Stegostoma tigrinum: one gene and its partners. The protein of the gene in region 3 interacts with the protein of the main gene of each other region in a biochemical or structural test. Links are inferred from orthologs where the notes say so. Each region holds a gene or a part of one and is shown on either strand. Other genes may lie near its edges. The genes, in order: sufu, klhl12 and fbxl17.

Region 1 (10,738 bases), on a different chromosome or scaffold from region 3:
CTGAACCCACCACCCAAGCCATTTTTCCATCCCCACCCTTGTCTGCCTTCCAGAGAGACCACTCTCTCCGTGACTCCCTTGTTCGCTCCACACTCCCCTCCAACCCCACAACACCTTCCCCTGCAACCGCAGGAAGTGCTACACTTGCCCCCACACCGCCTCCCTCACCCCCATCCCAGGCCCCAAGATGACTTTCCACATTAAGCAGAAGTTCACCGGCACATCTGCCAATGTGGTATACTGTATCCATTGCACCTGGTGTGGCTTCCTCTACATTGGGGAAACCAAGCGGAAGCTTGGGGACCGCTTTGCAGAACACCTCCGCTCGGTTCGCAAGAAATAGCGGCACCTCCCAGTCGCAAACCATTTTAACTCCCCCTCCCATTCTTCAGACGACATGTCCATCATGGGTGTCTTGCAGTGCCACAAGGATGCCACCCGAAGGTTGCAGGAACAGTAACTCATATTCCGCTTGGGAACCCTGCAGCCCAATGGTATCAATGTGGACTTCACCAGCTTCAAAATCGCCCCTTGCCCCACCGCATCCCAAAACCAGCCCAGCTCATCCCCTCCCCCAACTGCATCCCAAAACTAGCCCAGCCTGTCTCTGCCTCCCTAACCTGTTCTTCCTCTCACCCATCTCTTCCTCCCATCTCAAGCCGCACCACCATCTCCTACCTACTAACCTCATCCCACCTCCTTGACCTGTCCATCTTCCCTGGACTGACCTATGCCCTCCCTACCTCCCCACCTATACTCTCCGCTTCTCTCCATCTTCGCTCTGCCTCCCCCTCTCTCCCTATTTATTCCAGAACCCTCTCCCCATCCCCCTCTCTGATGAAGGGTCTAGGCCCGAAACGTCAGCTTTTGTGCTCCCGAGATGCTGCTTGGCCTGCTGTGTTTATCCAGCTCCACAATTTGTTATTTTAGTTTGATTGCAGATGTTTCTTCTTCAACAGTAGCACACTGGCCATGTTACCTAGCAAAGTTTCAAAATGTCTGCAACCAAACACACCAGCTCAGCAAGTCTACATCATCATCCACAACCCGAGTTACAAATCTTACAAAGACTTTAAATAGACCTTTCTTTATTTTATAAAATCTTCTATCAGGTCACTTCTCAACCTCCTAAACTCCAGTGGAAAAAAAAAGTCCCAGTCTATCCAGCATTTCCTTATAACTCAAACCTTTCATACCTCGTATATCCTGCTGAATACCTTCTGAACCCTCTCCAGATTGATAATATCCTTCCTATAACTGGGCAATCAGAACCGGACACTCTATTCCAGAAGAAGCCTCACCAACGTCCTGTACAATCTCAACATAATGTCCCAACTCCTATACACTAAGGACCAAGCAATGAAGGCATGTGTGCCAAACACTTTTTTAACCATCCTGTCTGTGTGTGACACAACTCTAAAGATTTGTATATCTGGACTCCTAGGTCCTCCTGTTCTACAACACCACCCAAGGCCCTACTATTAACTGTATAAGCCCTAGCCTTGTCAGCTGCACCAAAATGCAACACCTTGTACTTATCCATTTTTCAGCCCATTGACCCATTTGATAAAGACCCCTCCGTAATCTGCAGAAAGCCCTCTTCACTGCCTACGACGCCAACAACTTTGGTGTCATCCACAAACTTACTAACCATGCCTTCTATAATCTCAGCCAATCATTTATATAAATGACAAACAAAACAGGACTCATAACCGACCCCTGCGGAACACCGTCGGTCACAGGCCTCCGGCCCAAAAAGCAACGTTCCACCATTATTCTGTCTCCTTCCATTAAGCCAATTATGTAGCCAATTGGCAAGGTCACCAAGATTCCCATGTGACCTAACTTTACTATTTAGTTTACTATGTAGAACCTTGTCAAAGGCTTTACTAAAATCCAAATAAACGTCTGCTCCTCTGTCAACCCTTTTAGTAACTTTTTTCAAAAAACTCAGTCAAGTTTGTGAGACATGATTTTCCTCACACAAAACCATGCTGACTTTGACTTATCAATTTTTGCCTCTCTAAATGTCCATAAATCCTATCTTTTATAATCACCTCCAACAATTTACCTACAAGTGAAATCAGACTCTCAGGTCTACAGCTCCCCAGTTTCTCCTTACAACCCATCTTACACAAAGGTCCAATATTAGCCACCCTCCTGCCATCAGGCACCTCACCCAGTTATAGATGATACAGATATTTCTACAAGGAGTCTTGAAACTTGAAGGAGGAGGGGCTCGAGAAAGTTATATTCACTGGGGAGTTTGTGGATCTCTACAAATTTCTTCCTCACCAGTTATCATGCAGTCATTGTTTACCATCATGTAACTTCCCATAAAATCTAACAGAATTCATGATCTGTGCTGTATCAGGTAGTTAGGCCTTGAGATTAGAGAGAAAGGACACTAAAGATAAAGACAAAGCAAGTACCAACAATAAGAAGACAGTCAGATAGAAAGCAAATTTAGGTAGATTTGTGTACAAAGAGGTCAAAAGTTAGAATCGTCCTTTACAATTTCCCTTTATACATTCAATAGTTATTTTCCAAAATAATCAAACTTGCCAACATTTTTTGAATAAATTTATAGGCCAGCATAAAAAGACAAGACTACCCAAAACTACAGAATAGGACACATGCTGTGTAGGATATCCTAGCATATGGAAACAATAACATTCAAAATTAAATGCCTCAAGAGATCCAAATCCATCATTCAATGGATAGACCATCCTTGATCTGTATAGGGAAATATGTCCCAAACATAAAACCACAAGTGAACCCTACATTAGATGCATAGCTACTGAAATAAATCAAAACTTCTCCTTTCATCAAGTTCACAAGTGCTGAATGATACTCAGCAGAGGACAACTAATTTATGGTAACATAGTACAAATTGGTTTTTAACTAATATTTGAAATTCACACTGTCAATGAAAATACATGACAGTTTAAAATTCTAAATCAACTTTCATAAAATCTCAATTTATTCTTAGTCGTTTGTTAACGGATCAATATTTCTACCACACATTATAAAAAGGTGTTCAGTCAAATATTCTTAAGCAGGTTGAATTTTGACTATGTATTCTGCATTTTTTTTAAAAACTGCAGCAAAATTACTAATAGTTTTACCAGTTCAAGTTGAAAATTCTCAAAGGATGGTTTACTTTTGGAATTAGAGAAAATGATTGGATTTGCCTATGTGCTGATGATAAAAAGGCGTTTGCTGGCTACCGTTTTTTGTTGTGGAAAAATTGACTAGAAAAGACAAAAATTGTTACCCCTTTTTGTACCTTGTTTATTAGACCATTTCTCGTTGAAATCAACTCAAATGATAAAAACAAAAGTTCTTCCACAACGACGTGCATAGCAAGCTCCAGATACTTATGTAAAAACTGCAGTTGTTTATTTATAGTTTGCCTTAGGTAGGATGGTAGATCCAGTTCTGCAAAAAGGGTTAAACAGATGATATCGGTACAGAATGTATTTTCTGAATTTGGAAAGGTAAACAGTATAGCGCCAACTCCCATCATCAAAACACAAAATAATGAAAACATTCTTTTCCCCGAAGCTGCCATAAACTTTTTGAAAAGTGAGGGAGGGGAAAATTGAACTTTAAACATTGCAGAGAAAAAGTGTGCGTTTATATTCCTCAAATGGAAACCGTTTTATTGCCTTGATTTACACTAAGTTAATCGTTCTCGGGCATGGGGCCTCGGGAAACGGGCTGGAGACCAACCGGTGAGGAGAGAGCGCAGGAGTCGGGGACTTACCAGTACTTTACGATGGCGGTGACCTGCAGTGGGTTCGGCTGGTCCGAGTAAAGTCGTCTGCACTCCTGATAGATAGCGTGCAAACCCGGAGGCAGGAGCGCCGCAATGCCGGGGCCGCTAGGCCGCAACTCCTCCATCGGCTCGGCTGTCCCAGCGCCGGTCTACCCGGGAATGTTGTGGGTGTCCCTCGGCCTGAAGGTGGATCCTGTCTCTCTCTCTCTCTCTGGAATTCGGGCGTCCACCGCGCTCGACCCCAACGAAGCGTCAAACTCGTCAGCCGACCCGTCCTTCCGTTCCGGGCCAAGCCGTCCCCGCTCTCACCTCCCTTCCCCCCCCTCCTCCACCTCCCCCACCCGCCCGCGCTCGCGCTGATTCGCTCCGTAACCGCCGCCCGCTCGCGCCGCTGCGGCTGCCACCTGCCGCCCTTCCCCATGTCCTCCCCTCACGCTGCCAACTGCCCCTTCCCCCATGTTCCCCCCCTCACACTGCCAGCTGCCCTCGATGTCCTCTCCTCACATTGCCAGCTGCCCCCCCATGTCCTCCCCTCACACTGCCAACTGCCACCCTTCCCCATGTCCTCCCCTCACACTGCCAACTGCCCCTTCCCCCATGTTCCCCCCCTCACACTGCCAGCTGCCCTCGATGTCCTCTCCTCACATTGCCAGCTGCCCCCCCATGTCCTCCCCTCACACTGCCAACTGCCCCTTCCCCCATGTCCTCCCCTCACACTGCCAACTGCCCCTTCCCCCATGGCCTCCCCTCACACTGCCAACTTCCCCCTATGTCCTCCCCTCACACTGCCAACTGCCACCCTTCCCCATGTCCTCCCGTCACACTGCCAACTGCCCCCCATGTCCTCACCTCACATTGCCAACTGCCCCCATGTCCTCCCCTCACATTGCCAACTGCCCCCATGTTCTCCCATCACACTGCCAACTGCCCCTTCCCCCATGGCCTCCCCTCACACTGCCAACTTCCTCCTATGTCCTCCCCTCACACTGCCAACTGCCCCTTCCCCCATGGCCTCCCCTCACACTGCCAACTTCCCCCTATGTCCTCCCCTCACACTGCCAACTGCCACCCTTCCCCATGTCCTCCCGTCACACTGCCACCCTTCCCCATGTCCTCCCGTCACACTGCCAACTGCCCCCCATGTCCTCACCTCACATTGCCAACTGCCCCCATGTCCTCCCATCACACTGCCAACTGCCCTCCAAGTCCTCCCCTCACATTGCCAACTGCCACCCTTCCCCATGTTTTCCCTTCACACTGCCGATTGCTTCCCTCCCCCATGTCTTCCCCTCACACTGCCGACTGTCCCCTGACATCCCCTCACATTGCCAACTGCCCCCCCCATGTCCTCCCCTTGTGCTCTCAACAGTCCTCTGTCCATCATGCTCCTAAATCACTGCCCATCACGCTGCTGCTGCCAATTGAATGCTTGTCTGTTGCACTGCCAATGATTCCCCTACCCCTCGTTCCCAATCAATTCCTGTCCCTCATGTTGCCTGTGCTCAACTGTTCATTGCTGCCAACCAACCCCTTCACAGTACAGGTGCTAAGCTTCATTTGTCCCTCATGCTAGTTGTCCCCTTTACCATTAACTGCATTCCTGTTTCTCTCACTCTACCCGTTATCTTGTTCCTGACATTGTCCTACTATACCCTCCTTCCCACACTTACACTGTCTCTCTCTCTCTCTCGCTGCCCCTTGCCCTGCTGCTAATGCTTCTTGTCTAACCCTCCACAATGCTCCTTAAGCACTCTTGCCCTCTCCCTAATGATTCTATCTCACTTTACCTGTTGCTTTGCCTCACCACAAAATCCAAGCCATTTTAGTTATGCTGTCAATTCTGAAAGACAGTAGACTGACCATCGTGTTCATGATAAAAATAATAATTGAACATATTTACAAATAAATACCAGGACACAGTGGCTCAGTGGTAAGCACTGCTACCTTATAGCACCAGGATCTCAGGTTTGAATCCATCCTTGGGTAACTGTCTGTGTGGAGTTTGCACGTTCTTCCCGTGTCTGCATGGATTTCCTCTGGTGCTCCGGTTTGTTTCCACATTGCAAAGAAGTGCAGGTTATGTGGATTGGCTATTTTAAATTGTCATGTGGTATCCACGGGTGCCCAGGCTAGGGGGGTTATGAGCCGTGGTAGATGTGGGATGACAGGGATAGGGAGGGTCTGATGGGATGCTCTTCGGGTGGTGGTGCAGACTCAATGGGCCAAATGGCCTCTTTCTGCAATGTAGGGATTCCATGAAACACCCCACTTGATTGGCACTAAACCCATCACCTTCTGCATTCTTTCTCTTCACCACAGAAACACAGTGGCAACGGTGTGTAGCATCTACAAGATGTGCAGAACTCACCCAAAATTTTTTTGACAGCAGCTACCAAACTTGTGACCTCTACCATACAGAAGGACAGGGGCAGCAGATGCATTAGAACGCAACCACCCACAAGTTTCTCACCAAGCCACATACCATCCAGACTTGGAACTGCATCGCTATTCCTTCACTATTGCGGTGCCAAAAGCCTTTGACAATGTTCTTCATGGTAGACTGGTCAGTTTAGTTAGATCACATGGGATTCAGGGAGAGCTTGTCAATTAAGTACAAAATTGGCTTGACAGTAGGAGATAGAGGGTGATGGAGGAGGGTATTTTTTTTTCGGACTGGAGGCCTATGACCAGCGGTGTTCTGCAGGGATCAGTGATTAGTCTACTAGTGAATGTCATTTATATAAACAATTTGGATGGGAATTTAGGAAGCATGGTTAATAAGTCTGTGGCTGACACCAATGTTGGTGGTATGGTCGACAGTGAAGAAGGTTATCTAAGATGACAAAGAGGTCTTGATCAAATGGACCAATGGGCCCAGGAGTGGCAGCTGGAGTCTAATTTACATAATTATAAGGTATTTCATTCTTGTAAGGCAAATAAGGGCAGGACTTAGAGATAATGGGAACTGCTGCTGCTTGGCCTGCTGTGTTCATCCAGCTCCACACTTGGTTATCAGTTAATGATAGGGCCCTGGTTAGGTGCTTTCAAACAGAGACACCTAGGAGTTCAGGTACTAGTTGTTTGAAAGTTGCAACAGGATGTAAAGAAGACATTTGGCATGCCTGTTTCATTGCTCAGACCATTGAGTATAGGCGGTGAGACGTCATATTGCGGTAGTAAAGGATGTTGATGAGGCCACTTTTGGAATACTGTGTACAGTTCTAGTAACCCTGCTATAGGAAGAATATTGTTAAATTGGAGAGGGTGCATAGAAGATTTACAAGGATATCCCACTGCTGCCAACTATTGGGCGGCACAGTGGCTCAGTGTTTAGCACTACCTCACAGCACCAGGGACCTGGATTCGATTCCACCCTCGGGCAACTGTCTGTGTGGAGTTTGTACATCCTCCCTGTCTCTGCGTGGGTTTCCTCCGGGTACTCCGCTTTCCTCCCACGTTCCAAAAATGTGCAGATTAGGTGGATTGGCTATGCTAAATTGTCTGTAGTGTTTTGGGATGTATAGATTACGTGGGAGATGGGTCTGGATGAGATGCTCTGATGGCCGGTGTGGACTAGATGGGCCAAAGGGCCTGTTTCCATACTGTAGGGATTCTCTTCTTTGATTCTATTCTAAGGATGTTACCAGGACTGGAAGGCTTGAGTTGTGAGGTGATGCTGGATAGACTGGGACATTTTTCACTGGAGCATGGGAGGTTGAGGGATGACCTTTTAGACATTTATAAAATCATGAGGACAATAGATAAGGTGTATAGCAAAGGTCTTTTCCCTAGGGTTGGGGGGAGTTCAAGACCAGGGTGCATATTTTGAAGATGGGAGGAGAAAGATTTAAAAAGGACATGAGGGGCAACTTTTTTGAACAGAGAGTGATTCATATGTGGAATAAACGGCCAAAGGTAGTGGTAGACGCAGGTACAGTTACAACATTTAAAAGACATTTGGGCAGGTACATAAGTGGAAAGGAGCCAAACACAAGCAAATGGGACTGGTATAGTTTTGGAAACTTGGTAAGCATGGACAAGTTGGACCAAAAAATCTGTTTCTATGCTGTATTTCTCTATGACTGCACCTGTTTAAAGAGGCAGCTCATCACCACCTTTCGGACAATCATGGATGATTGATGGCCTATGAATTCCATGAATGAAAATGAAACACAGAAGCACCAATACAAAGTTGGTGATGGTACCAGAACTGAAGAAAACAATTATATGTTCCAGTACTTTTTATTCAGAATTGGTCTGAAAATTGTTCAGAGGAAACAATCTTATGTTTACCATGCTGCATTCTGTGATGTTTGCACATGAATAATGCAATTTCTAATTCAAATACTAATTGTGGAATCTAAGTCTAACTGAATGAAGCATATTGTGCTAAAACAGCATCGTATTTCAGCTCACAATCATTTTCAAAGATACAGTTCTAAATAACATAGTTGATGAGTATTCATACCTCAGCGTCATTGACATTGTAACCATGTAAAGACAGATTAACACTAACAACAAAGCATTCACTTCCTGATTTGGGCACAATCCAAATAACTTGCCTATATGCAAACTGATAGGTTCTTGACGTTTAACAATGCATGACAGTTTCCATAAGATCATAATAAGATTATAAGAAATAGGAACAAGAATAGCGATTTGGCCCCTCTGAGCTTGCTCTATCATTCAATAGAATTATGGCTGATTGAACATTCCTCATATCCACTTTCCTATATCTTATCGTGACCTTTAATTCCCTTATCAATCAAGAATTTATCTGTCTCAGCCTCAAATATACACAAATGCTCTGTCCCGGCAAGGAATTCCAAACTCCCACAACTCTGAGAGAAGAAAATTCCTCTTCATCTCAGTTTTGAATTGACACCCCTTTATTCTGAGAATATATCCTCTGGTCCTAGAGCCTCCCATGAGGGGAAACATCCTCTCAGCCTTTACCCAATCAAACCCCTTGAGCTTGCTGTATGTTTCAATGAGATCACCTCTCATTCTTCTAAATTCCAATTAATTGATTCCCAACCTATTTAGCCTTTGCCCATCAGACAAACCCTCGATACCAGGGATCATCCTAGTGAACCATCTCTGAACTGTGTCTATTGAGATAATATCTTTCCTTAAATAAGGGGATCAAAACTGCTCACAGTAGAGTTATAGAGCTGTACAGCATGGAAACAGATTCTTCAGACCAACTCATCCCTGCCACCAGATATCCTAAATTCATCTAGTCCCACCTGCCAGCATTTGAAACATGTCCCTTTAAACCCTTCCTATTCATGTACCCATCCAGATGCCTTTTAAATGTTGTAATTGTACCAGTCTCCACCATTTCCTCTGACAGCTGTTCCATACATACACTACTCTCTGCGTGAAAATGTTGCCCTTAGGTCCCTCTTGAACCTTTCCGTTTCACCTGAAGCCTATGCCCTCTAGTTTTGAACTCCCCTGTCAGTACTCCAGATGTCATCTCATCAGCACATTGTACAGTTGCAGTAAGACTTCCCTATGCTTATAATCCAAACCCCTCAAAAATAAGTGCCAATATTGCATTAGCCTTCCTGATTAGCCTTCCATATTAACATCTAATTATTAGTATTAAAAATAATAAAACCTTCTCAAATGCAGAATGAAAACATTGCTTCTGGTCTGTTGGATGTGAAAATGCAAAAATATAAGTGCAAGTCTTTTTTTACTGTTTGGTAACTGCTTCTGGTCCAAGAAATTCACTGATCATGGTATTCTGGCAACCAGAAGACTTATCTTGAACAACTTTTACTTTTCTTATTTGTGACAAATACAATACCTTATTATTGGAAATGGTTATACACACAAGGCTAAAGTGAACAAATCTGATGTACAAAACTTCAAGTCAGGCCACAGAAATCAACAAAGTACACTGATACTGTAAGGCAGCAGTTCCCAACCATTGCAGTATCAAAGCACACTTCAATGAGACAAACAATTCCATGGCAACACGCACTGTTTCATGTCACATGAGTCTACGCATGCACAGCTCTGGAGGCTTGTGCATGTGCAATTGATAGGGGCACGTAGTGTCAGCACATATTGCCTTCAATAATAGACACCCAAACTCTGGAAGAGATCAGAAGCTATGTACACAGCCTCAACACTCAGGTAAAGCAATGCTACTTCCTGAAAATTTTGTCATGCACTTCTCACTTTGTTGCAGCACACTGATTGAAAACCACTAGACCACGAGTAAGGACTCTCAGGCACAATCCAGTGTCAATAACTGTGGGCCAGAAAGTCTGTGTTCAAGATATGTCACAATGTGTCTGGACAGGTTGTTTAAAATATCCATACACCACAATTTGTGGGAAGGATTTGCAGCTTGAAAGTGTGTGGGTGTAAATATCTACATGTTTGAACAACTGTCTCCTAGGTTTCTCGACTTAATTCTCCTGTTCATAATCCCCTACATTCCCTACCAATCCAGGGCTGTTTTGCTCAACTTTTGTCTTCCTGACCCTGTCCAATAGGCTGACTTAAGTGATCATTCCATATTAGTCAATGTTTTAATACTTTCTAATCAATGCTGTATCGGTATTTTTATACCAAGTCTGAGAAAAGAAACTACAACTTGCGTTTTATATCACCTTTCTTGACCAATGGACAACCCAAGTTGATATAACATTAGCAAAGCAGCAGACAATTTTTGCACAAGAATGTGATATTCATTAAATAGTCCGTTTCAGTGATGAGGCATAAAAATGTAAGATAAGCATCAATATCACGAACCAGACATGTTAACCTATCTTGTGATTTTGAAATGTTTAAATATTAATTGCATTTATATGATGCTTTTCATTATCCTTTCAACATGGACTCCATCTACACTTCACGTGGCCACAGAAAGGCAGCCAACATCATCAAAGACCTCTCCTAACCCGATTATACTCATTTCCAACCTCTTCTGTCAGG
Region 2 (10,998 bases), on a different chromosome or scaffold from region 3:
TGTGTCTTTAACGTATTTATAAAATCCCTTTCAATTCTCCTTAACTATTTTTGTTAAAGCTTTGTCCCCTTCTTGCCCTCCTGATTTCCCTCTTAAATACACTCCTACTGCCTTTTTACTGTCCTAAGGATTCACTCGATCTCTGCTGTCTATACCTGACATATACTTCCTTCTTATTCTTGACGAGAACCTCAATTTCTCCAGTCATCCAGCATTCCCTACACCTACTAGTTTTGCCCTTCACACTCACAGGAACATACTGCCTCTGGACTCTCATCTCATTTTTTGAAGGCTTCCCATTCATCTGCTCTATCCCCCTATTCCTACCCTCACTAGCTTGTGGCACCGGGAGTAATCCAGGTATTACTACCCTTGAGGACCTCCTTTTGAAATTCCTGCCTAACTTCCTATCTTCTCCCCTCAGAATCTCATCCATTTCTCATCCTATGCTGTTGGTTCCAATGTGTACAATGACTTCCAGCTGGTCCCACTCCTGTTTGAGAATATTCTGCACTTCTCCAAAATATCCTTGATCTGTGTATGAGGGACAGAACATAAGAACATAAGACCATAAGACATAGGAGTGGAAGTAAGGCCATTCAGCCCATCAAGTCCACTCTGCCATTTAAATCATGGCTGATGGGCATTTCAACTCCACTTCCCTGCACTCTCCCCGTAGCCCTTCTGATGTCTTGCTGTTGGCCACAGAATCATCTGACTAGTGACTCCCCTATCACAGTTAGTCACTTGGAACCTGACGTACCTCTCATTATATTAGAGCCAGTCTCATACCAGAAACCTGGTTGTCCCTGCTACATTCCTTTGAGAGTCCATCATCCCTAAACGTTCCAAAACAGCATATTGGTTTGAGATGGGGATAGCCACAGAAGACTCCTGCAATACCTACCTCCCTCTCCTACCTTTCCTGGAGGTAACCCATCTTCCTGGCTATATTGCAGTTTTTCTCCCTTTCCGAAAATGTCATACATCACAACCCCTAGCTCCTGTAGATTCCACATTGTCTCTCGGTGATGCTCCAATCGATCCATGCGATCCAATAACATTTGCAACCAAACATAGTTCCTGCCGACATAGTCATCAGTAACACAAAGACTCCCTAGTCTCCCACATCCAACAGGAAGCGTACAAACACTGCTCTAAAGGCCACCATTACAACTATCTACTGTCTACAGACTCAGAAAATAGCACAGTATTACTGCTCTAAAAACACTGCTCCGAGCTAACTTAGAATCTGTTTTTAGTATCTGTGTCAAGAGACAGATCGCAATAAAACATATAATTGCAAGAGAACCCACTGTTGTAGTTGTACAAAATAATTAGTAAGGTTACACTTTAAAAAGCCACTTAGTTGCTCCCCTGCTGTGAGATGTCCAACACGGGTTTCTCCTAGGTCAGCTGTGAATTTTACTGTTTGTTAATTTTGCTTGGATGAGCTCCGATGGCCAGAGATACTTGAAATCAAACAGCAGAACAGTCAGCTAGGTCAGACCCAGCAGTGCAGATTTATTTCTCCGTTTGAATCCCTTCCCACCTGGTCATTGCCACTGCCATTGTCTGTCTTCCTGTTTTTTTTAAAGCTGTTGTTTTGATCTGTTTTTTTCTCCCAGTCTTCCAAAACAATGCAACAGGTTATAAAACAAGAATTACTGCTCCTAGAATTTGAAGAAATCAGCTCAAAACTGAAAATACCTCAAAAAAGGAGCAACTCTTACAGACAAAATGCCTTCTTATCCTTTCTTAAATTCATTCACAGGACGAGGGCATCGCTGTTAGGCAGCATTTATTGCCCATCCTTAATTGTCCAGAGGGCAGTTAAGAGTCAACCACATTGCTTTGGGTCGGGAGTCACATGTAGGCCAGACCAGGTAAGGTTGGCAGTTTCCCTCCCTAAAGGACATTAGTGAACCAGGTGGGTTTCCCCCCCAACAATTGACAATGGATTCACGGTCATCATTAGATTCTTAATTCCAGATATTTCATTGAGTTCAAGTTCCACCATCTGCCGTGGTGGGATTTGAACCTGGATCCTTAGAATGTTATCTGGGTCTCTGGATTAACAGTCCAGCGATAATACCAGTAGGCCATTGCCTCCCTCCGATAAGAGTCCTCTCCCTGTCCCTAGACCTCTTCACCCAACTCCAACAATCTCCCTGGACCCCTCTCTCTGGCCTTTTACCTGCACTCGACCTGTTCATTGAGAACCATTGACATGGCATTAGTGGCTTCAATTTCTCTGCTCCCCTTACCCATTCAAACCCATCTCCCTCAGAACTGACCGCACTGTGTGCTCTCCAATCCTACTCTGACTTTGTAATCAAGCCTAGCAATGTGCTGTTGTTGTCTGATATGCTGGCTTCTACATTATACTGGCTGAGTGCAGCTATTAGACTCGTCCTCCTATCTCGGTCCTGGACCATGACCCTACCATTGAACACCAGGCTATTGTGTCCACTTGGTCACTAATCTCATTTCACTGGTGATCTCTGCCCTAACCCGATTGTTTTTCTCCCCTTGTCTAGTTCCTTTCCACTTACAAACACAATTTTTCCATCACTTTACATCAGTTCACGGGCTCCAGCAGCCTCCTCTTCATCTTCAGCGATGTTCAATCCCTTTCCATGTTCACCCTCCCTCAGAATGGTCTCAGGACACTAATCTAATAATCTAACTACTGCCCCCATCACTGAATCCCTCACTATCAACATACTTGGGGTTACCATTTATCAAAAACTCAACTAGAATCACCACATAAACACAGTGGCTACAGGAGCAGTTCAGTGATCAGGAAAACTGCCATAAACCACCTCCTGACTCCCAGAGGGAGGGGGTGGGAGATGACCATAGGAAAAGGTGGGGATGAGGGAGAGGGGAGGGTGAATGTTGGGGAATGAGGATAAAGCGGGGATGGGAAGGAGGGAGGGGGTGGGGGAAGTGTGTAGGTGTCGGGGACTAAGAGTGGGGGAGGTGTGGAGGAGCGGGATGTGTGTGTGGGGGAGGTAATAGGGGTGGGGGATGTGTGGGTGGCTGTGGGGGATGTATGGGGGAGGGGGATGTCAGTTGAGGGAGATGTGTGTGGGGGGAGGGGGATGTGGGTGGGGGTCTGTTGGGGAGGGGAATGTGTGTGTGCAGGGGGGGATTGGGGTAGGGAGGGGAAGGTGGGTGCATGTAGGGGATTAGTGGCAGGGGAGCTATGAGTGAATGTGGCGGATGGGGAAGAGGGTGGCAGTGGGGGAGGAGGGTTAGGGGTGTGGGAGATGTTGGTGGGAGAGGGGGATTAGGAGTGGTGGAAGAGTTGGTGGGGAATGGAGGTTAGTGGTGGGGGAGGTGTTGGTGGTGTGGGGACTAGGGGCGGGGGAGGGTGATTGGGGTGGGGGAGGTGGTGGTGAGCAGAGAGATGTTGTCGGGGGAGGGGAATTAAGGGTGAGTGAGGTTTTGGTGTGGGACAGGGAGGTGTTGGTGGGGGGTGGTTTAGGGGTGGGGGACGTATTGGAGAGGGAGGGGGATTGGGGTGTGGGAGGTGTTGGGGGGGTGGGGGAGATTAGGGATGGCGGATGTGTTGATGAGGGTGGTGGCTACGAGGTGGGGGAGGTATTGGTGGGGCTAGGAGATTAGGTATGGGGGAGGTATTGGTGGGGTGGGCTGGGCTTTAGGGGCGGGGAAGGTGTTGGTGGGGGAGATGTTGGTGGGGGTGGGCTTTACGGGCGGGGAGGTGTTGGTGGGGGAGGGTTTAGGGGTGGGGGTGGGTTTCGGGGTGGGGAAGGTGTTGGTGGGTGTGGGTTTTAGGGGTGGGGGAGGTGTTGGTGGGGGTTTAGGGGTGGGGTGGTGTTGGTGGTGGGGGAGGTGTTGGGGGTGGTTTAGGGGTGGGGGAGGTGTTGGTGGGGGATTTAGGGGTGGGGAAGGTGTTGTTGGGGGGTTTAGGGGTGGGGGAGGCCTCCCACACCCCTAATCCCCTTCCCCCTCCAATACGTCCCCCACCCCTAAACAACCCCCCACCAACACCTCCCTGTCCCACACCAAAACCTCACTCACCCTTAATTCCGCTCCCCCGACAACATCTCCCTGCTCACCACCACCTCCCCCACCCCAATCACCCTCCCCCGCCCCTAGTCCCCACACCACCAACACCTCCCCCACCACTAACCTCCATTCCCCACCAACTCTTCCACCACTCCTAATCCCCCTCTCCCACCAACATCTCCCACACCCCTAACCCTCCTCCCCCACTGCCACCCTCTTCCCCATCCGCCACATCCACTCATAGCTCCCCTGCCACTAATCCCCTACATGCACCCACCTTCCCCTCCCTACCCCAATCCCCCTCTGCACACACACATTCCCCTCCCCCACGGACCCCTACCCACATGGGAGGTGTTGGTAGGGGGCTTTAGGGGGTGGGGAAGGTGATGGTGGGAGGGGTTCAGGGGTGGGGAGATGTTGGTGGTTGGGGATTTTGGGTGGGGAGTTGTTGGTGGGTGGTTTGGGGTGGGGTGTTTAGGGGTGGTGAGGTGTTTGTGGGTGGTTTAGGGATGGGGGAGGTGTTGGTGGGGGGTTCAGGGGTGGGGGAGGTGTTGGTAGGGGCGCTTTAGGGGGTGGGGAAGGTGATGGTGGGAGGGGTTTTGGGGAGGGAGGTGTTGGTGGGGGGCTTTAGGGGATGGGCAAGGTGATGGTGGGAGGGGTTTGGGGGTGGGGAGGTGTTGGTAGGGGGGCTTTAGGGAGTGGGGAAGGTGATGGTGGGAGGGGTTCAGAGGGTGGGGACGTGTTGGTAGGGGGGCTTTAGTGGGTGGGGCAGGTGATGGTGGGAGGGGTTGGGGTGGGGAGGTGTTGGTAGGGGGCTTTAGGGGGTGGGGAAAATGATGGTGGGAGGGGTTTGGGGGGTGGGGAGGTATTGGTAGGGGACCTTTAGGGGGTGGGGAAGGTGATGGTGGGAGGGGTTTAGAGGGTGGGGAGGTGTTGGTAGGGGGCCTTTAGGGGGTGGGGAAGGTGATGGTGGGAAGGGTGTAGGGGGGCTTTAGGGGATGGGGAAGGTGATGGTGGGAAGGATTTAGGGGGTGGGGAGGTGTTGGTAGGGGGGCTTTAGGGGATGGGAAAGGTGATGGTGGGAGGGGTTTTGGGGGTGGGGAGGTGTTGGTAGGGGGGCTTTAGGGGTTGGGGAAGGTGATGGTCGGTGGGGTTTAAAGGGTGGTGAGGTGTTGGTAGGGGGGGCTTTAGGGGGTGGGGAAGGTGATAGTGGGAGGGGTTTGGGGGTGAGGAGGTGTTGGTAGGGGGGCTTTTAGGGTGGGGAAGGTGATGGTGGGAGGGGTTTGGGGGTGGGGAGGTGTTGGTAGGGGGGCTTTAGGGGGTGGGGAAGGTGATGGTGGGAGGGGTTTGGGGGAGGGAAGTGTTGGTAGGGGGGCTTTAGGGGGTGGGGAAGGTGATGGTGGGAGGGGTTTGGGGGAGGGAGGTGTTGGTAGGGGGGCTTTAGGGGGTGGGGAAGGTGATGGTGGGAGGGGTTTGGGGGGTGGGGAGGTGTTGGTAGGGGGCTTTAGGGGTGGGGAAGGTGATGGTGGGAGGGGTTTGGGGTGGGGAGGTGTTGGTAGGGGGGCTTTAGGGGGTGGGGAAGGTGATGGTGGGAGGGGTTTGGGGGAGGGAAGTGTTGGTAGGGGGGCTTTAGGGGGTGGGGAAGTTGATGGTGGGAGGGGTTTGGGGGAGGGAGGTGTTGGTAGGGAGGTTTTAGGGGGTGGGGAAGGTGATGGAAGGAGGGGTTTAGGGGGTGGGGAGGTGTTGGTAGGGGGCTTTAGGGGATGGGGAAGGTGATGCTAGGAGGTGTGTAGGGGGGCTTTAGGGGGTGGGGAAGGTGATGGTGGGAGGGCTTTAGGGGGTGGGGAAGGTGATGGTAGGAGGGGATTAGGGGATGGGGAGGTGTTGGTAGGGGGGCTTTAGGGGATGGGGAAGGTGATGGTGGGAAGGGTTTTGGGGGTGGGGAGGTGTTGGTAGGGGGGCTTTAGGGGGTGGGGAAGGTGATGATGGGAGGGGTTTGGGGGAGGGAAGTGTTGGTAGGGGGTCTTTAGGGGGTGGGGAAGGTGATGGTAGGCGGGGTTTGGGGGTTGGGGAGGTTTTGGTATGGGAGGGTGAGGATCAGCTGTTGAAAGATGTCACGTGAGCTTTCACTACGCGCGCATGCGTCAGGCCGTGCATTGTGGGTGTTGTAGTCCAGTAGGAGCCGCGGCTGGAGGGCGGTAAGAGCTCGGCTGGGGCTCGGGCCTTGGAGCTGCGGCCTGACCCCTAGCTCCTCTACACAATCTCCCATCCCCTCATCTGGGTGAGGAAAGGGCCGGCCGGCCGGCAAAACGCGGAGAGATGGGATCGGGAATGATCCTGGTAAAGATGAAATGTTCTGTGTTTTATGTTAAAGATGAAAACCCTGCAATTGGTCGTCAAGGCTGTACATCTCGGGGTGATCACTGAGGAAGATCGCTGAGGGGGGGTAGAATGGGATGATCACTGGGTTAGTCGCTGAGGGAGGGGTTGGGGTTGATCACTGGGTTCGGAGGAGATGGCTGAGGGGGTGGGATGGCTGGTAATCAATGGGGGAGATCACCGTGGGAGAGGGGAATGGGGTGGTCATTGGGGGAGATCACTGAGGTGGGAAATGGCTGGTCGCTGGAGGAGATCACTGTGGGAGAGCGGAATGGGGGTGGGTCATTGGGGGAGATCACTGAGGGGGTGGAATGGCTGGTAATCACTGGGGGAGATCACCGAGGGAGAGGGGAATGGGGTGGTCATTGGGGGAGATCACCGAAGGAGAGGGGAATGGCAGGTAATCATGGGGGGAGATCACTGAGGGAGAGGGGAATTGGGGGTGGTCATTGGGGAAGATCATTGATGGTGTGGGATGGCAGGTCATCACTGGGGGTGATCACTGAGGGAGAGCAGAATGGGGGTGGTCGTTGGGGGAAGGTGAATGGGGATGATGAATGGGGGAGGGTGTGATCACGAGGAAGAGACAAGATGACCAGCGTCCGGAGGAAGGGCAAGGTGGAGAGACCTCCAGGAATCCAGGTGGCATGACTGGAGTTGTGCAGATCCAGGATGCAGTAGAAAATGAACAGTAGGAGGAGAGGAGGAAAAGATGAGGAATCCAGAGAATTGGAAATAAACACAGAAAGGGGTAGCAAGAGGGAAGAATATGGGGAGACAAGAACAGCAGCAAAGGTCAATAAATAGACAACAGTGTTTAAAGAAGACCACATAAATGGTGCAGATACTTTGTGATAGACGAAGAATTAGTTTGGAAATTTTGACTCCAGGTTTAAAGGTTTTGATGTGGAAATAATTACCTCGGGGAGAAGTTTCCCGAGAGTCCATTCAAGAAGGTGTCTGCTCTGCATTGGTTCTTGGTTATAATGAGAATCCAATATGACTTCTTCAGAACTCCAGCAGTAGTTTGCTTTTATTTCTTAGTTATAACTACTTTTGCTGGTGCCGAAAAGGGTCTTGCTCACATTCGCAGTGGTTTCACGGGGAAAGCATCCAAGGTGCTTCGAATGTTTAAATGTTAAAAATTAAATAGGGGGGTTTAAGAAGGTAAGTTCCAGAGTGTGGACCTAATCTTGTTGGAGACTTTGACACTACTTGTGTTTGGGGTGGGGGTGGTTAGCAATATGGTTAAAGCAAAGGATTCAAGAGAGTTGCAGTAGAGTTTAAGATCTGCAGTAAGATGGCATCTTTAAACCTATTGGTAATGGTTGAATAGAGCCTATGGTTACAGACCCATGCCAATTGATTAAATGCTTTCTTTGTTGCACAAATATTAGTGCTAGAGCAGCGCAGGATGTGTTAACATACCAGAAAAGGGTCAACAAGACAGCTTGGAAGGTCCGTATGCATCCTTCCAAATGAAAGTACTCGAAAGAGGAGGAAACAGTTAACACAAAGAAAATCCCAGCTCGACCAAAAAGGTTTACAGAAGCTATTTAAGCCATTCTGTTATCAAGAATACTGTGGAACCATTTTTCTGTGACCTATTTAAAGTAAGTGTTTCCATAGTGCATGGCTGAATTACTGGAACAGGCTCCTGGGGGTTGCAATTTTCTACTGATAGAAAGATGTCTCCTGCCTGGAGAGGAAGCAGAGCCTGTAACACTGTAGTATTTTCATTTCCTGATACAGATTCAGGTTGTGCACACATGGTGGAAGTGCATTCTTTGAGAAATGAATCAATTTTATCATATTGATTTTTTTTAATTGCAGGTGATATGACTGGATATGGCTGAAGGCGATTGAACTGGGAGAAATTCTGTGAAATTAGCTTTGCCCGGTTCTGGAAGAACAGAAAATCTCAGGAGTAATTTTATGCTGCTGGCAGGTGATGGACTTCAGTTCTGCCATGGCTTATCAAATGTGGTAGTAACTCTGGTTTGGCAAACAAGTCTAAGAATAAGCCTAAATAAAAACCGAAAGAACTGTGGATGCAGTAAGAATAAGCCATCTCTGTGGCGTGAAGACAAATAATATGTCTAATTCGTTTCAGTGTTCCTAAAACATTCCCAAGTCATCTTGTCAGGCTGTTTTTGCAATTTAACCTGTTTTCATTGTTTCTGTGGTCAGACTACAGGGTTGTTTGTTGCTTTTCAGGATCACAAGGATCTTCAGGCTCCCACTGCATTATTTTCTGTTGCAGCACCTCTGCCAGTGGATTCTTAAATTAATTTATTCAGTTTAATCCACTAATACCAGATCTAGCCTCAAGTACTCAGACACCAGGTCTGTTATTTCTTGGACTTGATTGAGTATAAATATCGTAAAACTGTTGGGACAATAAGCTGTCAGTCTGTGCTCAGAATTGGAGCAATATATTTAACCTGTTGCCCTTATCTGAAGTGGAATAGAATCAAGAGTTGGCAAATAAATTGTGTTTGTGACAGGAAAGTGGTTGTAATAACTCACCAAGGCATTCTGTTTTAATCAGAAACCTTGGTGTTCATTGCGATAACCAAAGGTTCATAAGTGGGTTCCTTTGTCTGTTGTGATGTGGAATATGCATTTGGGAAACATTTAGGTGGAATTGATGCACTGTGTCTATTTCTGGGGTCAAGTCACATAACACCAGGTTATAGTCCAACAGGTTTATTTGAAAACACAAGCTTTCGGAGTCTTACTCCTCCTTCAGGGGTTCGTGAGACAGGTAATATCAGACACAGAATTTATAAGTAAAAGATTAAAGGGTCAATTTCTGGGGATGTTTTTCAGAGCAAGTTGAATCCATGCTGTCCAGACGAGGCCTGAATGTTGAGTTTAACATTTGGATCAGGCTCCTCTTCATCCAGAACGTGAGATCTTTTACATCACTTTTGAGAGAAACTTTAGTTTAACGTTTCATCTGAATGATATCACCTCCAGTTAGAATGAACTCCTTAAGCACCGGCCTAAAGTACTAAGGTTTAAAATCACATTGAGTGGGATATTAGTATTCTAGTACTAAGCCAAGATTAGAACCTTGAGAACTTTAGTGTGTTGGTGATGACTGAGTGATCTCTGCCTTGTGGTTGGATTAGAGACATGGTAACAATGGACAGAGTTACAAAGACGGTTCTGTTGTGTTGTGGCCTGCAGACATGTGCTTGTGTTTGTATTTGTGTTGGCAACAACAAAAAAGGGTAAATCTTAGATTGAAAATGCACTAATCCTAAAACTAAATTATCCCAAGATATCTTGAGAAATGAGTTTCTGATTTGCCATGCAGCAGCTTTTAAGAAGGGGATAGATTGCCATGGATGGACTAGCAGCAGTGTGGCGGCCTGTACTTGAGTGTTGGTATGGCGATCTCGTCAGTGTAACCAGTGAGAAGATATACGAACAGTCAGTGTGATGCACCAGATAGGGAATGGAAAGAGGTCTTGAGATCAAAACACAAAGAAGCAAATTGCCTCTTTAGGTTAGCCAACAGGTAAAATCATAGCAAAGAGCTGAGGAAAAAGATGGGTATTGCGGACGTTGTCCATGATTTCTCAGATAGTACTGTCGGATGTGCGTTTGTCAAATATTTTCTTTAAACAAAAATGCTTTAAAATCTATATTGATCCTACAGCCTCAAATTTTGCAAATAACATATTAAACATGAGAGCATTGATTTTCCTAGCTTTTTAATAATGTGTTGTTGGTGTGATTTTAATCCAGCTGTAGGTGATTATCTCTCTCTTCACTGACTCTAAAAGAGGAAAGGCGGAACATGGCTCCTCGGGATATAATGACCAACTCACATGCCAAGTCCATACTTAACACGATGAACTCTCTGAGGAAGAGTAACACCCTGTGTGATGTCACTTTGCGAGTTGATAGCAAGGACTTTCCTGCCCATCGTATTGTGTTGGCTGCCTGCAGTGACTATTTCTGTGCCATGTTCACCAGTGAGGTAAGCTGGCCATGAATTTGGCTGTAAAGGTTGGTTACTCCTTTCTCACAGTAACACTAACAGTTGTCGGCTTACCAATTTTAGTCAAATGAAAAGCAAAGGTATTAACGAACCACGTTGGAGAAGCGTGTTGCAAAAGCTTCAGCCTTCGTTTGATGTGCTAGGCACCTCTATCATTGAGGATAGGAATTTTTATAACATAACCTCCTCCAATGAATTATTTATAATTCTACACCATTATTCATGGCTGAATGTGTCAAGTCTGTAGAGCTTAGGTCTGACCTGTTGGTTTGTGAGATTGCGTAGCACTGTCATTTGTTTCTTGTACAGTTTGGTTTGCAAGTAGTTATGTTTGCAGCATCCCCGGGTTGGCACCCCATTTGTAGGTATGCCTAGTGCTGCTCTTGGTATCCCTTTCTGCACTTCTGTTTAGAGTTTGTCCCTTGGCTTGATGGTAATGGTAACTTCGGGGTCATGCCGGACCAGGAGGTTGCAGATTGTTTGTTTTTGAGAACAATTTTGTTGCTGATGGCACTTAACAGATGCCTAATCTTGAGTTGCTATATTTGTTAAAAGTCTTTTTTTAA
Region 3 (10,056 bases):
GCAGCATCAGAGGAGCAGAAAAGCTGACGTTTCCGGTCGAGACCATTCTTCAGAAAAATCTAATCTATTTTACATCTCAATCTCTCATCTCCAACTACAAACACTCCCCTTGGGCAGGCTCACCATCTGTTCAACTCACTCCTCCTCCCCTTTTGTCAACAGCACCAAAAAAACTTTGCTCTTCCTACCACAGAAGTGGATAATCGTCTGAAAGTGAAAACAAATTCAGGAAATATATGAGGAAAAAGGCAGGGAATTGATCTTGCAGAGAACCAGCACAGACATGACAAACCAAATATGACTTCCTCCAAAGCTGTAATTGTTCTAAAAAGAGTCTATTCGCAAAGTTAAGAAAAATTGCAACGAGCAAAAGGTGACAGGCATTTGAAACGCTCACATGAAAGCTCAGATCAATTCATGAATTCAAAAGAATAGATCTTGTTAACTAGAAGCATCGAGGGAAAGGCGGCAGTTAGGTGCATGGAGTTCAGCCACTGGTCTCATTCAACAGAAGAACAGACGAAAGTAGTTAACAGACAATAGACAATAGGTGCAGGAGTAGGCCATTCAGCCCTTCGAGCCAGCACCACCATTCATTATGATCATGGCTGATCATCCACAATCAGTATCCTGTTCCTGCCCTATCCCCAGAACCCTTGATTCCACTATCTTTAAGAGCTCTATCCATCTCTTTCTTGAAAGTATCCAGAGAGTTGGCCTCCACTGCCTTGGACCATTGTGAATGTATGCTCCTAACTGCCTAATGCTTATCTCAAAATCACTATTATGAGGCAAACTTTTGCAGCTCTAAAAGCCAATTCAAATTACAATTTGTTCATTGTATTGCTACATGAAGCAAAAGTACAATTCAACTTTTGAAATTGCTTATTAAAAGGCAATCAGCATTTAGCAAAATAAAAACAAGACTGTATAAAAGAAAATCATCTCAAGCCATTTGACACAGTCACGTAGATTTTGTGTAATACAAAATGATGTGAACATGTTTCTTTGTCAATTTGTTAAATACACTCTCCAAGGCACAAACTTGTCCTAAAGTTGACAACCAGAAGGTCAAGAGACATCTAATTCTTTTCAGAGGCACCCTTCATCAGGTCTTCCCTAATCTCTATCAGAGGATATTTCAAACATTTGTGGGGATTATCTCAATTTAACATGGCACAGAGCAGGAAAAGACTCCCCCAAAACTTTCATCCCTATTTAAACCACTTAAGAGTATTATCACAACATCAAGGACTACAGTGATGTTCCAAAACCACATTATACTTAATTTTTATCCAGATCCAAGAGGAGTTAATTGTATTTAAATCAGCCTACATCAACCACAACAGTTTAACTCAAACACAAAATGAGTGCTTTTGTATTGAACAAAGCATTAATTCTTTCCCATTCATTTTGAAGAATCAACATCCCATTTAATTAAGTTACTTTATAAGAATATTTTATAGACAAATTAGATTTCCCATCCATCATCGGATCTACCCAAAACACGTGAAGTTCCACAGAAACTCACTCCCTCTGCCAGCACATCTCATGTCACAGGGATCATCTGGGAGGGAAAAAAATGCTTGATTGGTCCCCTTATAAACCAAATGCTCTCTACTACCTAGCATAGCCCAGATTGTGTACCTTATTAGTTTCTCACACATTTGCTAAGTTCATCATATTCACAAAACACAACAAAAAAATTTTAACTCCATTTTTATTAATTTCCCAATGACAGCTCCCTTCTTACCTCTTGCATGCCAGCTGACATTCTAAACTATTTCAAAGTCCAGTTATCTAGTTTCTCAAAACAACTAACACCTCTCTCTTTGTAAAACCACAATCATCAGCATGTCATTGTTAACTAAATGCTTGATTTCAATCTTCATTCCAAAAGATATATTTGCCACCTGCTTATATCGTCACCTTGCCCATCTCCAAAAATTCTGTTTCAATTGTTCCAATCTAGTTTTAGTCGAAACACAATAAAGCTAAAATGAATGTACCATTTTTACATGATCAGGGTTGCATTTTTCCCCCCCAATATGCTCTCTGTTGACGTCCATGCACCATCTTCTTCCAAAATTTCAACACCATCTAGGTCCCATTACCTAAACAAATGTCGGTTGAACATCCACACTGATGACTTTCTCTGCACCATTACTTACAAAATTCCCTTCAGTTTCATTCTTGGATTCAGGTTAGTCCATATTGTCCATTGGTGACACAATCCACAGATATTCCATTAGCATTCACAGATACACTAGTGATACATTACTGTCATACCTCACTCCAAGCATGTTCAGACCGTGTATCCACCATAGAACATAGAACATTACAGCGCAGTCCAGGCCCTTCAGCCCTCGATGTTGCGCCGACCTGATAAACCAATCTGAAGCCTATCTAACCTACACTTTTTCATGGAAACACATAACCTCACCCCAACTAAATAACAGGCAGACTCGAGCCACTTTTTGGCCTGCCAAAAGCTTCATACCTTCCTACCTATTTCATGTCCTGACTGCCATTATTTTCGGATGAAACAGAACTTCCACATCCTTATTGGCCTGTCTGACCGATATTCAGATTTTTCAACCCAGATGGTCTTCATGAGGAAGACTTTTTACTTCTTTTTACTTTTCAATTACATCGTACCTACCTACCTATCATACTAAACGATACAAAAAGTACCCCCAGATTTGCAAAAAAGCAGGGGTGAAAGACCTTAAAACTATCACCATCACTCGAGAAAAAGATATTGACCTGTACCTTAGGGTCATTGAAAAAATGTGGTTGCATAGTTTGTGGACGTGTCGGTTACTCTTCCAAAATTCCCTAGATTTTGGAAGTGTCCAAGAGGATTAGAAAGCCACAAATGTAATACTACTATTCAAGGAGGGAGACACCAGTCTGGAAATCAGGAACTACAGCTGTGTTGCATCCAACATCTGTCAATATTAAAATACAAGAATCTATTACTAAGATAGACGCAGGACAGATAGAAAATCGAGTAGAATGTCATGGCTTTGTGAAAGGGAAGTTAACATCTGAACAATTTATGCAACCGCTTTGAAAAATTTCACCGAGTATTAAGCAAGGTGGAAAAACAGACACCAGTAAACATGACGGTTTACCAAAATCATTTTAATACCTTGCCACAAGATAAAAATCCATTTTGCTTGGGATGATATATTAATGTTTTCAGCATATTAGCTAACAAAGATAGATTCTGAAAAATGGCAGTCACTTGCAGGCTGGCATGCTGGAGGGTCGCAAGGATCAGAGGTGGGACTCAACTGTTTGTTTACGAGTATTAACGAAGTGGATGATGAAGTCAACTATATTATCTGCAGATTTGCTGATAATGCAAAGGATAGGCAGCAGAATAAGTTGTGAAAAGGATACAAAGGATCTGCAAAGGGATATATATACTGATGACATCAGTTAGGAAAATATTTGGCTAGAGAATAATGTAGTAAAATTTGAGGTTATTCACTTTGGCCAGAAGAAAAGAGAAATAGAACATTGTTTAAATGGAGAAACACTACAGAATGCTGCACAGCAAAGATCTGGGTCTTACTTAATCCAAAATGTTTGCTTAAAGCCATATCCAATAACTTCCTGTTACCAGTTTTCTTTTCCTCCCATCTGAATGTAATAGCTCTTCCCTGTGCTAACTCTATCTGTATATCAAGTTTTGTTAAAATCATTCAGTAGTTTCTGACATATATTGTTTACAAACAGACTAGCAAACAAAGCAAAAACATCTCTTCCACCCATCTTCAGCGGCAGAGGTAATTATTAAGTTAAATTTGATGTCAGCCTTTACCCACCAACATTTTATAGTAAAAGGAAGGAATTTTACTGCAACAGTGCATTGATGAGTCTGAAGCTGAAGTACTGTGGTGAGTTATTTCCTATCTCTAGGAGTTTCCCTTGCATTAGAAGCAATTCACAGAAAGTTCACTTGGCTGGTTTCTGGGGTGAATGGGTTGACTCATGGAGAAAGGATGAACGATTGCGCTGATAGTCATTGGAGTGAATAAGTGGTAATATTATTTAAACATAAGATTCTGACGGGGATGTACGCTGTTACTGCTGGAAGAATGCCTCCTTTTGTGGGGAAGACTAGAAGTAGGGGACGGACTTTAAAAATAAGAGATTTCCCATTAAAACTAAAGGAGGAATTCCTTCTCGCAGAGATCATATTTTTTGGAATGCTCCTCCACAGAATACTGGAGAACGTGTCATTGTGCATTTTCAAGGTTGAGTGAGATAGATTTTTGTTAACAAAGACTCAAAAAAGGTAACAGGTGCAAGCAGGGAGGTGGGTTCATCAGATCAGTCATACTCATACTAGGTAGCATAGTAGGTTCAATGGGCAGAAAAGCCTCAACCTACTGCTCTTTCTTAAGACTTATCTGCTATTGAAACCTTGATTTAAGCCTTTATCAGCTCTAGACTCAATTAATTGTGAGCTTTCCATTCCAGAAAAAAATCTCTAAAATCAACACATACCCACAAATTCACTACTTGTACTCAATCATCCACCATGACCAACACACCTATCCTCAACACACACTGACTCTACATCTCCCAATAATTTAAGTTTAACAATTTTATTCAATCTATGAACCTCACCCCATTCTCAGTTCCTCTGATAATACCTTTTGGTGCCTATCCCCTTCCTTCATTTGTACAAATACAGTATCGTCCGCCAAGACTTAACATATCGGACCAAGCAGATTGATGCTCTTTCCAAATATCTCCCCCTTGATGTTGCATCTAATTTGTCCCTTAACTCTGAAGTGTTTCTGGATGTTTTTCTTAATTTATAATTCACTTGTATAAATTGTATTTACAAGAATATTAGTCTTATGAACTAATCACATCACTGTTTAAAAAGGACATTGATAGAATTATTTACATGAAGTCATCCGTGTAAACATGTATCTATAAACTTTAAAGGTAGTTCTAACCACAAAAAAAAATCAACAATCCTGACTGACTCAAGCCCTGTGATATTGCACAATCTTTCAAAATAAAAATAATTTAGTTCCACTTTCTTGTGTGAAATTACTGATTTTAGATGGAATAGTACATGGTGAAATGTCAGTGCAACTTCAGACAAAACCTCTTATCCATGGAGAACCAAACCATTACACTTTATGTAGCTCTGGGCTACTATCACTGCACTTGTAAATAATAATGAAAAATGCAAGATTGGAAACTAATTATAACCCAACAGGACCATTTCATGTAAGTGTAATTAAACCAGAATTGAAAATGTAACTACTGTGCATTGAACAAACACATGCATTGAAAAAATATTTCAAATTGTCCTTTTAGTATTTAATAAAATTCAAAATGCATTTATATTATAGATTTAACGTGACCTGAGGTTTTCTTTACATCTTGTACATTTTCCCTATTCGCTATTTATATTGCGGAAGAATGTCAGAGGGCATTTTATTCAAATCACAATGGTTATAGATTAAGTGAAGGGTTTAACAAAACAATCTGATTATTGACTGTAAATTGAATGCGAGATTAAAAACATGATCAATTTTTAATATCTCCATAATATTTCAGTACTCAAAACCACTTGTACTGCTTCCTGTAAAGAGTTTCCATCCTCTACTGTCCCAATGTGAGACTAGGACTGTAGCAGCATTTCCGACTTCCTAAATTCCAGCTCCAATATGCAGCTTCACACATACTCATTTCAAACAAGGCCTCAGCTGCCCAGTGTTTGTCTCGCAAACTGTAAATAACAGGAAGAAGCGTGCTGCCTACCGGCGACTATTCCTTCCTACCGCCTTCACACGTTTGCATACTTAAACACAGAGACGTCATCATTCTTGTGTGTGTGTTTTTTTTCCCCCTAGAAAATATAAACAATTACTACTTATTGGAAAAAAAATAGTGAATATAAACTGATGCAGACCTTCCGGCTGTACAAGGCCTCATTCTTCAACTGAGAGGCCGGCTCAAACCGTCCGCGCGCCTCATTGGCGGCGATCAGCGAACGTCACTCGGTGATCCCGCCTTTTAATCAGATCCCAGCCGCGCAGTGATCAACCGCTGAGCGGGGACCTACCGTGAGGCGATTGTTAGCATTGCCGTGGGACAGAGCTTTAATAATGGTGACCTGCTGCTGCTGCTGTTGTCAGGTGAGAATCTTCGAGCTGGTGACTGAGAGGACCCGACAGCTGTTTGTTTCCTAAAATTAGATCAAGATCTTTGTCCGACCTTGTTCTCAATCGCTCTCCCTTCTCCTGTTAATATGTTTCTGCGTTTATATTCATCACTCCAGTGACTCTCATCCCTTTTTCTCTGCAGAATCTGTCCCTTTTTGTATTGTATTTATTGTGTTCATTAGTTTTCGGTCACATTTGTTTCGTCTGATATTGTTTTCTTTCTGTATTTTCAGCGTGACATCTTGAAATATATCATTCACCCATAACTTTTCGTGGTCGAATGAAAGCAAAATACTGGAACTTCAGAAGAAACAGAGTGGATTCGAAATAGTAATTCTTTCTATCTCCACACATTCTGGCAGATCTGCTGAGATTTTCCGCCGTTTTCTGCCTGTTTATACCTATTCAACTTCTCTAATTTTCCAGAAAATTTATCTCTTAAAAATTGTACGTCCTGGGATTCCCTTTTGTGGGAGCGCTCAACTCCCAGACCATGTTAAACTTAATCGTTTTGTAATCACTCACTGTCTAGATGATAGAAGTGTCAGATACTGACAGAGATATTAGGAACTGCTGATGCTGCAGAATCTGAGATAAACAAGGTGTGGAGCTGGATGAACACAGCAGGCCAAGCAGCATCAGAGGATTAGATTAGATTCGATTCCCTACAGTGTGGAAACAGGCCCTTCGGCCCCACAAGTCCACACCGCCCCTTGAAGCATCCCACCTAGACCCATCCCCCTATAACCCACACACCCCTGAACACTATGGGCAATTTAGCATGGCCGATCCACATAGCCTGCACATCTTTGGTTTGTGGGAGGAAACCGGAGCACCCAGAGGAAACCCACGCAGACACGGGGAGAATGTGCAAATCCCCACAGACAGTCCCCTGAGGCTAGAATTGAACCCGGGTCCCTGGCGCTGTGAGGCTGCAGCGCTAACCACTGAGTCACCGTGCCGCCCAGGAGCAGGAAAGCTGACGTTTCAGATCTGGACCCTTCTTCAGAAATGGGGGAGGGGAAGGCGAGGGGGATTCTGAAATAAATAGAGAGGGAAAGCGGATGGAAGATGGTTAAAGGATCAGATAGTTGGAGAGGAGACGGACAGGTCAAAGAGGCAGGGTTGGAGCCAGTAAAGGTGAGTGTAGATGGGAAATTAGGGTGGGAGTTAGTCAGTCCGGGGAAGATGGACAGGTGAGGGATGCAGGGATGAAGCTGGTTGGTAGGAGGTGGGAGTGGGAATTGAAGTGGGAGGAGCAGACACATGGGAGGAAGGACAGGTTAGGGAGGCGGGGACAAGCTGGGCTAGTTTTGGGATGCGTTCACGGGTGGGGAGATTTTGAAGCTTGTGAAGTCCACACTGGTACCGTTGGGCTACAAGGTTCCCAAGTGAAATATGAGGTGCTGTTCCTGCAACCTTAAGGTGGCATCGTTGTGGCACTGGATGAGGCCCAGGATGGACATGTCATCCAAGGAGTGGGAGGGGGAGTTGAAGTGGTTCGCAACTGGCAGGTGCAGTTGTTTGTTGTGAACTGAGTCTAGGTGTTCCACAAAGTGGTCTCCAAGCCTCCGCTTGGTTTCCCCAATGTCAAGGAGGCCACATCGGGAACAGCGGATATAGTATACCACACTAGCAGATGTGCAGGTGAACATCTGTTTGATGTGGAAGATTTTCTTGGGGCCTGGGATGGGAGTGAGGCAGGAGGTGTAGGGGCAGATGTAGCACTTCCTGCGGTTGCAGGGAAAAGTGCTGGGTTGGTGGGGCTGGTGGGGAGTGTGGAGCGGACAAGGGAGTCACGGAGAGAGTTGTCCCTCTGGAAGGCACATAAGGGTTGGGAGGGAAAAATTTCTTTGGTGGCGGGGTCAGATTGCACAGGCGGAAGTGCTGGAGGATGATGCATTGGATCCGGAGATTGGTGGGGTGATACGTGAGGATGAGGGGGATTCTGTTTTGGTTGTGATTGCGGGAAGGGGGTGTGAGGGATGGGTTGCGGGAAACGTGAGAGATGTGGTCAATGGCGTTCTTGACCGTAGTGGGGGGTAAGTTGCAGTCCTTGATAAACGAGGATATCTGGCATGTCCAGGAGTGGAATGCCTCATCTCAGGAGCAGGAATTGGGATTAGGGGGTGACATTTTTGCAGGAAGGTGGATGAGAGGCGCTGTCAGATACTGACAGTCGTTTACAAGGTGCATAATACATTACAAGCCATTCTTTGCAGATCTTTCAATTACTTCGAAGCAACTGTCTATGCACAGGTGGTGTGAAAACATTGATCTATGAGATATTAGCTGCTAGAAGTCACTTCCTACTCAAACGCAAAAATAAGTAAAAACATATTCGGATTTGGATTGCAAGCAAACATAAAGATGCTTTTGTCTCTAAAGATGCTGCTGACACTTTGATAAATAAAGATACCTTCCTGCAAATGGTGAACTTGTTGTAAAAGGTTTGGAGAAATTTGAATCATTGAGTGTCTGAACCTTGTTTGGCGATATCCATAAGATCTCTTAAATTGCTCCAGTAAATCACATGACTCTCAACAAAGTGGACAGAGCTGACTTTGCAGTGGTGGATGTGTATAGTGAGGTGAACAGGATTAATAACTCAACTATGCTTTCTTCATACATTTAAAATGTAAGTCCCCAAGTATTAGAGGCTCATTTCTTGCACGTGTTGTGCTCTTAATAAAAAACATATATGTCTTGATCGTTTATTTTGTTACCTACTGACCATTTTCCTGGCAAAGAGAGAAAAGTCTTTTAAATCAGGATGACTGTAGAACAAATCAAACTTCTGCCACATGCATTGTAATCCAATTTTTGATAAAAAGCCTTTTTATTCTAGAGCATTGTAGTTAGTTCCTTAGTCAGGTTGCCTTGTGAATGAAATTCTGTCACTGGTTGGTAGATATGTTCCCTGTCTTTTCCATCAGATATGGTAGTTTTGGCTAGACAAATAGCCTTACGCAGATTTAGTTAAATACATTGAAGTGGATTTTCAATATATGTAGCAGTGGGGTCCTTCAAACTGAGCTTTCCCTGTCTTCTAATCTGTGTGCAGTTTTGGTCTCTTTATCTGAGGAGGGATGCTGTGGCTTTTGAGGGAGTGCAACTAACAGTAAAGAACTAAGAATGTTTTGAAGAAAGAGTTAGTTATAGCTCTTAGAACTAAAAGAATAAAAGTGTATGGTGAAAAATCAGGAAGAAGATACTAAATTGAATGATCAACTACGATCATATTGAATGGGGGAGCAAGCTTGAAGGGCCTCCTCCTGTTTCCTGTGTTTTATGGACAATTGTGTATAGGTTAATCAAGCAGAGTCTACAGGGAAATCATCTTTAACTAATTTATTAGAGTCCTTTTGGGAAGTAACAAACATTGTCGTTAAAGACGTGTACTTAGATCTCAAAAAATGTCAAATCATATTTTACTGCACAAAATAAGAACTCATGGTGGTCAGAATGATTGATTAGCATGCACAGAGGATTGTTCAAGGGTAAATAGATCATTCTTGGCAGGTCGTAACTGGCAGAGTGCCACAGAGATTAGATACAAAAGCAGAAATTGCTGAAAAAGCTCAGCAGGTCTGGCAGCATCTGTGACGAGAAATCAGAGTTAACATTGCAGCGCAAGTGACCCTTCCTCAGAAATTTTTCACAGCATCTTCATTTGGTTTTTATTTGCTCAACTATTTACAATCTACGTTAATGACTTTGATGAAGGTATTGACTGCATTGTAGTCAAATTTTCTGTTGACAGAAAGATGGGCAAGAGTATTTTGTCAAGGGGACTTAAAGAGATGACAATGGATGATGAGTGAAATGAAGAGGCAAATATTTGGCAGATGGT

The links.
Region 1: of the proteins of fbxl17 (region 3) and sufu, one has a biochemical effect on the other in vitro, tested with the Homo sapiens proteins (2 studies listed by BioGRID, with this or other methods). The link is inferred for Stegostoma tigrinum from reciprocal best matches to the Homo sapiens genes FBXL17 and SUFU.
Region 2: the proteins of fbxl17 (region 3) and klhl12 form a complex in vitro, tested with the Homo sapiens proteins (3 studies listed by BioGRID, with this or other methods). The link is inferred for Stegostoma tigrinum from reciprocal best matches to the Homo sapiens genes FBXL17 and KLHL12.

What each region holds. Positions count from the first base shown.
Region 1 is NC_081373.1:7,322,379-7,333,116, reverse strand, and holds the start of sufu (suppressor of fused homolog), read right to left. Parts: upstream 4,090-10,738; 5' UTR 3,907-4,089; coding exon 3,770-3,906; intron 1-3,769. UniProt on the Homo sapiens protein: Negative regulator in the hedgehog/smoothened signaling pathway. Down-regulates GLI1-mediated transactivation of target genes. Down-regulates GLI2-mediated transactivation of target genes. Part of a corepressor complex that acts on DNA-bound GLI1.
Region 2 is NC_081374.1:45,322,778-45,333,775, reverse strand, and holds the start of klhl12 (kelch-like protein 12), read left to right. Parts: upstream 1-6,198; 5' UTR 6,199-6,378; intron 6,379-8,250; 5' UTR 8,251-8,365; intron 8,366-8,783; exon of another isoform or gene 8,784-9,329; intron 9,330-10,176; 5' UTR 10,177-10,228; coding exon 10,229-10,411; intron 10,412-10,998. UniProt on the Homo sapiens protein: Substrate-specific adapter of a BCR (BTB-CUL3-RBX1) E3 ubiquitin ligase complex that acts as a negative regulator of Wnt signaling pathway and ER-Golgi transport.
Region 3 is NC_081356.1:80,973,016-80,983,071, reverse strand, and holds the start of fbxl17 (F-box/LRR-repeat protein 17), read right to left. Parts: upstream 6,022-10,056; 5' UTR 5,951-6,021; intron 5,944-5,950; exon of another isoform or gene 5,800-5,943; intron 1-5,799. UniProt on the Homo sapiens protein: Substrate-recognition component of the SCF(FBXL17) E3 ubiquitin ligase complex, a key component of a quality control pathway required to ensure functional dimerization of BTB domain-containing proteins (dimerization quality control, DQC).